Linked DNA regions of Daphnia pulex. The protein of the gene in region 2 interacts with the protein of the main gene of each other region in a pairwise test. Links are inferred from orthologs where the notes say so. Each region holds a gene or a part of one and is shown on either strand. Other genes may lie near its edges.

Region 1 (3,924 bases), on a different chromosome or scaffold from region 2:
TATATTTTGTGTTTCCTTTTTCACTCGCCATCTCTTCTCATATTTTGGAAACCGTTACTTTTTGTTGTTGTTGTTGCTGCTGTGCCCCTTTAGTGTTATCAATCAAAATTTAAGGAAACTAACTGGGAGTAAGTCTGTCCAATATATCGGGCTAGCTACGAGATTAAATTCATCAAGTGAGCTTGAAAACGCACTCTCCAAGTGCCCTTGGGTCGTATCTGATGAATGCCGAATAATTGCATAAATGAATTAAATGGATCGTTGTCAACGGCGAGAAAAAAGTTATTGGGGTGGGGGAGCTATCGAAAGAGATGAGAGAGTTGTCTCTTCTGTGTTTTTTTTTTTTTTTTTTATCCTTCAAAGAGAGAACAGTGGGTTCGTAATAAACCCACACATTTGGTTAGAGCTACTTGTGTTAAGACCGCCATTAGGCCATCGGTTGCATCGGTCTTGTCGCCGGAGTGGGTGGTGCAAAAGAAGGTGGGATATATCCGACAGGCTTGGGTAGTGGTCGGATAAGGAAGAGACGTTCTCCTTTTTCTGACGTGAAAATGGGGGATCTTTGGTAGTGGTCTACCAACTGGTCGATAGAATGGAACCTAATTCGAATATTAATCAGAATGTAATTGGAAGACTATGAAATGAATATAATCCGATCTTACCTCCGCTGACCGATGACATACAAAGCTCCTTCGACGTGGACTCGGAAATGCTTATTGCGACCGGGTGCTTTCAGAGACACGGAGTAATCTCCAACCTATTATTTACAAATGAATTAGTAAACGTAAACTCTAAAATAGTTTTTTTTTTAAACAAATTACGTTGGTTTCAGATGATCGCACAAGAAAGTCTCCATCTTGACCATACTGATTAAGTAGATTATCGCATTCAGCTCGGGTGATGGCTCCGTAAAACCAGGATTTTTCTTTCAAGTGAGGGAAATTAGGATCCTGGCTCAGGCTAGCAGATACGGCGGGAGGTGTATTCAAACTCAAGGCATCCAAACTTCGCCCCATGCCGTCTACTGCGTTACTTCCGTTGTTCGGCATCGGGGGCAAATTGCTGACAGGAGGCCCACCTGGAGCACCATTACCACCAGGTGCTCGTTGACGGAAAGGTTCGGTCAAAAAGTCGCTAATCTCCTAAAGAAACAAGAAGAACAAGTTTTATTGTAACGAGCATAACGTTACCAATAATTAATTAGTCACGACGAAATAATACCTGAACGTAGTTCTTTGGAATCAAACCAATTGAACCATTGGTGTTCCGGGCTCGATACCAATCCGGATCTGCAGGTGGACGATCAAGAATTTCAAGTCTCTCGCCTTTAACGAAGCTTAGTTCTTCGTTATTTTGTGCAGCAAAGCTGTAAAATATATCAAATACCAAAATAAATTTTAATCCAAATTAATGACTAAAATTCGGCTTACCTGTAAAGAGCAACTACGACATCCAAAACATTCTCGGCTGCTGAGTACATGTGTTCTCCCGCAGACATAACCATAGCTGATGCAGCCGGCGGTGCGACGCTTGCTGTCATGTTTGCTACAGGCTGCTGCTGCTGTTGTAATGAATCTGGGAGGGTATAATTTGATGGAAACCATCCAATTTGGTTTTGGTATTGACCTTTCCACCAACCATCACTGCTTTTTTCAAGCACGAGCACCTTTGTTCCTAATAAATGCATTGATTGAAGTGTTAGTAAACATACTGGGGGTGTTGACGTCAATTTGCAACAAGTTACCTTTCACAAGAGACAATTCATCAGTTTGCTGAGCAACATAATTGTAACGAACAAGCGCCCAGCCTTGGTGAGGCCCTGCATTGAGATCATGAGCTGGATAATGTGATGTATCAGGAGAAGGGCGCTTGATTACTACTGGAGAATCAACTTCTCTCACGGGAGAGCCACCGGGACTGTTGGAGGATTTGTTGATGCTATTCCCTTTTTTCACTCTCTTCTTGATTGAGTCAAATATAGATGGTTTCTCCTTCTTCACATAATTGCTAGGGACATATCCCCATTGGTGTTGAGAATTTTGAACTTTCCACCAATGTTTTGAGTCATCCAGCAATAGAAGTTTGTCATTCTTCCTTAAACTCAACTCCTGTGATCCTTGGGCAACATAATCATACTTTGCAATGACATAACAGTCTTCAATGGCTTTGCCTGAAACGAATGCAATAAACCAACATATAAACATCAACTAATGACAACTGCATAATGAGTCACCCTATAATAATAAACCAACATACCCATTTTTAGACTGCTAGACATTATGTTGTGCGACCCTTAGCGGACACCAATGAGCAATCACTGCCCAAAAATGCTTTGATTTTGAGCAATACTCAAGCTGAACGATGCAAATTCAATTCAATGACTCGTCTTTATCGATTTTAATCCTCGAAAAACTTTTCGTGGGCAGGGCCAGTTTTTAGTTAGCTGCCATGTTGAATACGATGCCTGCTGAGTTGCCATTTACTTTAAAGGCTAGAGCGGAGCTGACGAGAAATAAAATGTGAAATTTACATTGTAAAAAAAGTTTAGAATTTATAGAGGATTGATCCATCAATTTTGGTCATTGGAATGATTTCCGCGCATGCAATATCGTAACAGATTACGATTATTGCACTGTTGCATTTTCAAATAGTTGCTCAGCCAAGAGGGAACTAAGAGACTTATTTCTATTTATGCTGTACTTCATTTAGCTAGTTTGACTAGTATCCACGAGCCGCAGGTGAAACCATCCCAATCTTTCCACCTCATGATGATCGGGTACCATAACCACTGGACCACGCCAGTAATATCATTTATGAATTTTTTTTACTACACATTAAATTGTTTTATTCACATTTTATTTTTGCGGAGCTGACGAGTCTTTTATAATTTTTTTTAAATTGATGATTATTTATTTTCCGGTAATCATATTCAGTTTACATTAAATTCGAAAATTTCTATGCGTTTCCAAATGCGGGTTTAAAATAACAAATAATTTGTCTTGAAAATGGTATTGTTTTATTGTGCATTGACGAATTAATCGTGGCGCAGTTTAATCAAGATATTATTCCATAATGTCGCGCTTTGCTCATAAAGTCCGATCGGGAATAATAACAACCTCTCAATACTCTTTCACCCTGATAACTTTCACGCCCATGCAAGAGCCTCCAGTTATCAATTATCATCACGGTTCCTGGTGAGAGACGAAACCGATATTCGTTTTCTTTTTTCTTTACGAGCGTCGCCATGGTTTTTAGATAACGATAATGGGTACCGACTTCCTCTTGTGGGATACCAGAAAGAGGCGACCGATCTAGCATGTTGAACCTGAATAAAGAATAAATTTACTGTAATTAAAATAGAAACGCCTTTTTATTCAGACAAAAGTATCTTACCGAATCTGTTCCAACTTATGGCTCACTGGATGATGACGGAAGATGGGACCCCAAGAAGAGAAATGCTCACCTGGTTCAATATACTCGGCTTCCATATTTACTTTGGACAAATAATCGTAGGCAGAAGGATCAAGCTGTTTTAACTGCTTAGCCACGTGAAATCCGTCTACCAAGAAAGATTCGCAACCCGTCCCATTGAAATGAGTACAATGAAAAACCAAAAGCCTAAAACAATGAACGGATAGGATAGAAAAGGATAAATTCAGTTCAAAAATAAGAATTAAATCAACAAGAAAAGAGGGAAATCCATACCCTTGCGCTTCAGTAAAATAAGTGTTGTCTGTATGGGCTTCTAAATAGCCGTTCAGGTAACCCGTATCCTTATGGTCGAAATTGGTACCGGTTTCCCAAAACTTTCCAAAGACCGTGTGGGACATACGGCAGATACGCTCGATAACCGCGCTGGTGTCAAGTTTCGTTGGTGGTACTTGCTCTATTTTGACGAAGCCGTACTGAAAGACCCGGCGATAT
Region 2 (3,924 bases):
ATAGAACGGGCTGATAGTCGCATCAGGATCGAGCAGGCCTCGTAGAGCACATCCGACTCTGTAGAGTCATCCATGGCTGTGGCTCAGTAAGTTTTCATGGGCGGAGAAGTAAGCACTTTTGCACAGAAAAACAAAAATCAACAATAAACAGGGGAAAAGAGGCGGAAGCGGAAGCAAGAGACGACGAGACTACAGCCGCTGGGAACAGTTGTCTTTCCGTCTTGAAACTGAATTTGTAAAATGTGGTTGGTTGCTAACGTTTCTTCGGGACAAGTCTTTTCTCCAGACTTAACGTCGAATGCCAGAAAGAAGAGGGGTTATTTTTATCCTCGGTAGCAAGAACTTGGAAGAAGAAAGAAAGAAAAAAGATAGGAAAAAGCCGCCCACTTATCCCCGCCCGGTCTTCGGATTCTGCTCACATATCACCGCACACAACTTTCCCACTAGAATGTTGAGTTTTGAGAAATTATTTCATTTTACTTTGAAAAGACAAATTGATTCTGCTTAACAGTCATTTTAAGAAAGAAATGTTTGGAGTAATAGCAACTGTTTTCTAAAAAACAAACAACTATTGTTCAATGTTTACCTGATTATCGTCTGTTCGTCAATCGTCAAGTGGCGTCCAACAAGCGATAGCTTATCAAGCGACTCCATGTGACCCCTCGTTTGCTTCTAGCAACTAGCCACGTAAGCGTCCTCCCGTGTCCCGTCCTGTATGAACTAATGCGATAACGATTTTTCATTGAATTTTTTAAAGTAAAAATTTACCGAGACAAGTATTAAAAAAAAATCGATTATGCATTTTTTGCGTTGTATCCGGTAATTATTAGGTCGACGTTCAACATTCATCTTGATCATTGTGACGAATATCGATGATGGACTTGCATGAAGAATAACCATGCACGTCAAAAATCAATTGAAATCGAGGGTTTTCTTTTTTCAATTTCCATTATAAAAAGACTGTGCAATCTGCGAATTCACGAAAGGTAAAACGCTGTATGCGTGCCGAATACGATGCGGATATCAACCGATATCATATTAGCTAGTCCAAGTTCCAAAGGTCTTTCTATTTAATCAGGTTTTATGTGTGAAGCTCGTGGGCTACTCGATGCAATGCAATATCCGCTCTGTCCATTTGATATGGATTACATGTGTCTATCGGGATGGGCTCAAATAGCACTATCGAGTGAAAATATCGATTTAAGTCTATATCGATACTGCTCCACAAGCGACGAAAAAGAAAAAAAAAAATTACAGACCAGACTGTCAGAGTAATTTGTTCTGTCTGTGGGTGGTATGTGTGTTTCTCCTTACGATTTTCTTGTTTTCGATTCATTTGCAAAGTTACGGTTTGTTCTGAAAATAGATAAGAAGGATATCTGAAACCTGAAAGCTTCTAGTTTTGCTCACAAGTGAAACAAATTGCCAGGTTTTCTCAGTTTTTCTTTTGATAGTATAGAGTTAGGCTCTCCACCCACTATATTTGTGTATTTTCGTCCAGTTTAAACAAACTGAAGTCTTATTTTTCGTCATTTTGTTTATCGTGAGAAGGTGAAAACTGGTGAAAATGGCAGATGAAGAGGATAAGCCACCTGCACCTCCTGTCAGACTGACTAGCAATCGGTGAGCAATAAAAAAAAAATGGGTTCTTTGCCAATCAACAGTACCCAACACCCTAAACCTTTTTTTGTATTGTTTTTTTTTTCAAGGAATGAAGCTGTTCCTGTTGTTCCTGTTGACCTTAGACCTTTACCAAAGGAACCTGAGTCAGAAAAGAAGAAAACTTTAAAAGTTAAGGTCCCTCAGAGAAAGAACAATGATAGATCAGATAAGCCCAACATTTCCTACCCAACAAATTTTGAACACACCGTTCATGTTGGTTTTGATGCAATCACTGGAGAATTCACGGTAAATTTCTTTCAAATGCTTGCATGAATAATTCTAAAATACTCTTGGGCGTTGCGAGTCATGGTTTAGGAATGCATGGCTTTATAGTTAAAATTATGACAAGTTTAGTTTTACGAACCAACATTATTTTACAACATTATTGATATTGAATTGAAAATGGCCAATTATGGTTGGAGAATGGCAGCCAAAAAGAAAAATAATTTTTTATTGTAGTGCTGCTGATTAAGTTCTCATTAGTGTGTGAATGTGTGTGCGTGTGTGTAGCCTTCAGATAATTGTATTAATGTAATTGTGTTTTCTTGAATGCAAGCAGCAATGTCAAGTAAGGAATGATAAAGCTAAGTCTGCTTGTTGAAGAATGAGTAGTTACTATTTTATGTCACATGCATCACATTAAATGTTATATTTTGACAAATTTGCCATACATAGGGAATGCCACAAGCTTGGGCCCAATTACTTCAAACATCCAATATCAGCAAACAGGAACAAAAGAAAAATCCTCAAGCTGTACTTGATGTGCTCAAATGGTACGACATTTCTTCCCAAGTAGGAAATGAAACCAAGTATATGGAAACGCATACGCAGAAAAGCACGGGTAAGATCCATAATATAAAATGCCTTATTTATGTTCTTGCTTTAGCAAAATTTTGTTGTCCTTCAAGTGGATGGTTTGGGCCCTTATTCAAGACCTACATATCAACAAACTGACAGTTCTTGTCCTAAAATTTCCTTAGTGGTCAATAGCCCAAGTCATCATAGCCATTCGTCCTCACAACATAGCTTGGCTACTCCCCTTCACCTTACAAGTTTTGGGCGACAAGGATCCGGCTCAGGCTCGGTATCTACTCCTGAAACAGAATCGAGCCAAGCTACTGACACCATCGGCAGTCTTGAGCGAGATGACGATAAAGGCAGTGAACATCTCGCAGACCTTGCCAACAATCAGGAAAATGAACGAGACGGTGAGGACAAAGCGCCTCCTCCGCCAGTGGCTGTTCGTCCAGAACGAACGAAATCGATTGTAAATTGATTTTTACAAGTTAAGCTTTTTTTTTCTTTTGTCAGTAATAATCCCCTTCGTTTTCTTCGCTAATAGTATACGAAACCTATCGAGGAACATAAGGTGCCTATTACCAACGGTGCCTATGCGCTGGACGGTAATAAAAATGCTCCAACGCCGAATGCGCGAAAGAAAAAAATGTCAGACGAGGAGATTCTAGAAAAATTGAGACTAATTGTGAGCGTTGGCGATCCCAATCGCAAATATACCAAAATGGAGAAAATTGGACAAGGGTAAGTTACATTCAAAAACTCAATCGTCTATGATGCAATGGTGGAAATTGTGTGTCCTTTAGAGCCTCGGGAACTGTATACACAGCAATAGAAACTTCAACGGGTCAAGAAGTAGCCATCAAACAAATGAATCTGTCACAGCAACCTAAGAAGGAATTGATTATTAATGAAATCTTGGTGATGCGAGAGAATAAACACCCTAACGTAGTTAATTACCTCGACTCGTACCTTGTTGGAGACGAACTCTGGGTAAGGCAGCCATTTTCAACATAAATGTTGATTTTCTAAAATTTATAATTCATTCGTATTTCAGGTCGTAATGGAATATCTTCCTGGGGGCTCCTTGACTGATGTTGTAACCGAAACTTGCATGGACGAAGGTCAAATAGCCGCAGTGTGCCGGGAAGTTTTACAAGCCTTAGAATTCCTTCACTACAACCACGTTATCCACCGAGACATCAAGTCGGATAACATTCTTCTCGGATTAGATGGATCCGTCAAACTCAGTAGGAGATTTTCTACATATAGTCTCATCTAACGTATTTTCTAACTTTGCCCTTCTTTTATTCCATTTTTAGCTGACTTTGGGTTCTGTGCCCAAATCAGTCCTGAACAGTCCAAAAGAACCACGATGGTCGGTACTCCTTATTGGATGGCACCCGAAGTAGTAACTCGTAAGCAGTACGGCCCTAAAGTTGATTTGTGGTCGTTGGGTATTATGGC

Evidence for each region.
Region 1: the proteins of serine/threonine-protein kinase Pak-like (region 2) and cytoplasmic protein NCK1-like interact in a two-hybrid assay, tested with the Caenorhabditis elegans proteins (2 studies listed by BioGRID). The link is inferred for Daphnia pulex from reciprocal best matches to the Caenorhabditis elegans genes pak-1 and nck-1.

Annotation. Positions count from the first base shown.
Region 1 is NC_060024.1:8,484,654-8,488,577, forward strand, and holds the start of cytoplasmic protein NCK1-like, read right to left. Parts: upstream 2,473-3,924; 5' UTR 2,279-2,472; coding exon 2,257-2,278; intron 2,171-2,256; coding exon 1,745-2,170; intron 1,675-1,744; coding exon 1,431-1,674; intron 1,367-1,430; coding exon 1,222-1,366; intron 1,143-1,221; coding exon 822-1,142; intron 758-821; coding exon 663-757; intron 600-662; coding exon 428-599; 3' UTR 1-427. Other genes in the region: trimethyllysine dioxygenase, mitochondrial-like, read right to left, coding at 3,055-3,325, 3,394-3,618, 3,706-3,924.
Region 2 is NC_060022.1:3,421,909-3,425,832, reverse strand, and holds the start of serine/threonine-protein kinase Pak-like, read left to right. Parts: upstream 1-1,208; 5' UTR 1,209-1,294; exon of another isoform or gene 1,295-1,429; intron 1,430-1,551; 5' UTR 1,552-1,567; coding exon 1,568-1,623; intron 1,624-1,709; coding exon 1,710-1,908; intron 1,909-2,337; coding exon 2,338-2,503; intron 2,504-2,570; coding exon 2,571-2,929; intron 2,930-3,004; coding exon 3,005-3,201; intron 3,202-3,263; coding exon 3,264-3,450; intron 3,451-3,514; coding exon 3,515-3,707; intron 3,708-3,779; coding exon 3,780-3,924. Other genes in the region: probable protein phosphatase 2C 8, read right to left, coding at 1-74. UniProt on the Caenorhabditis elegans protein: Required for hypodermal cell fusion, together with cdc-42 and ced-10, leading to embryonic body elongation, which involves dramatic cytoskeletal reorganization.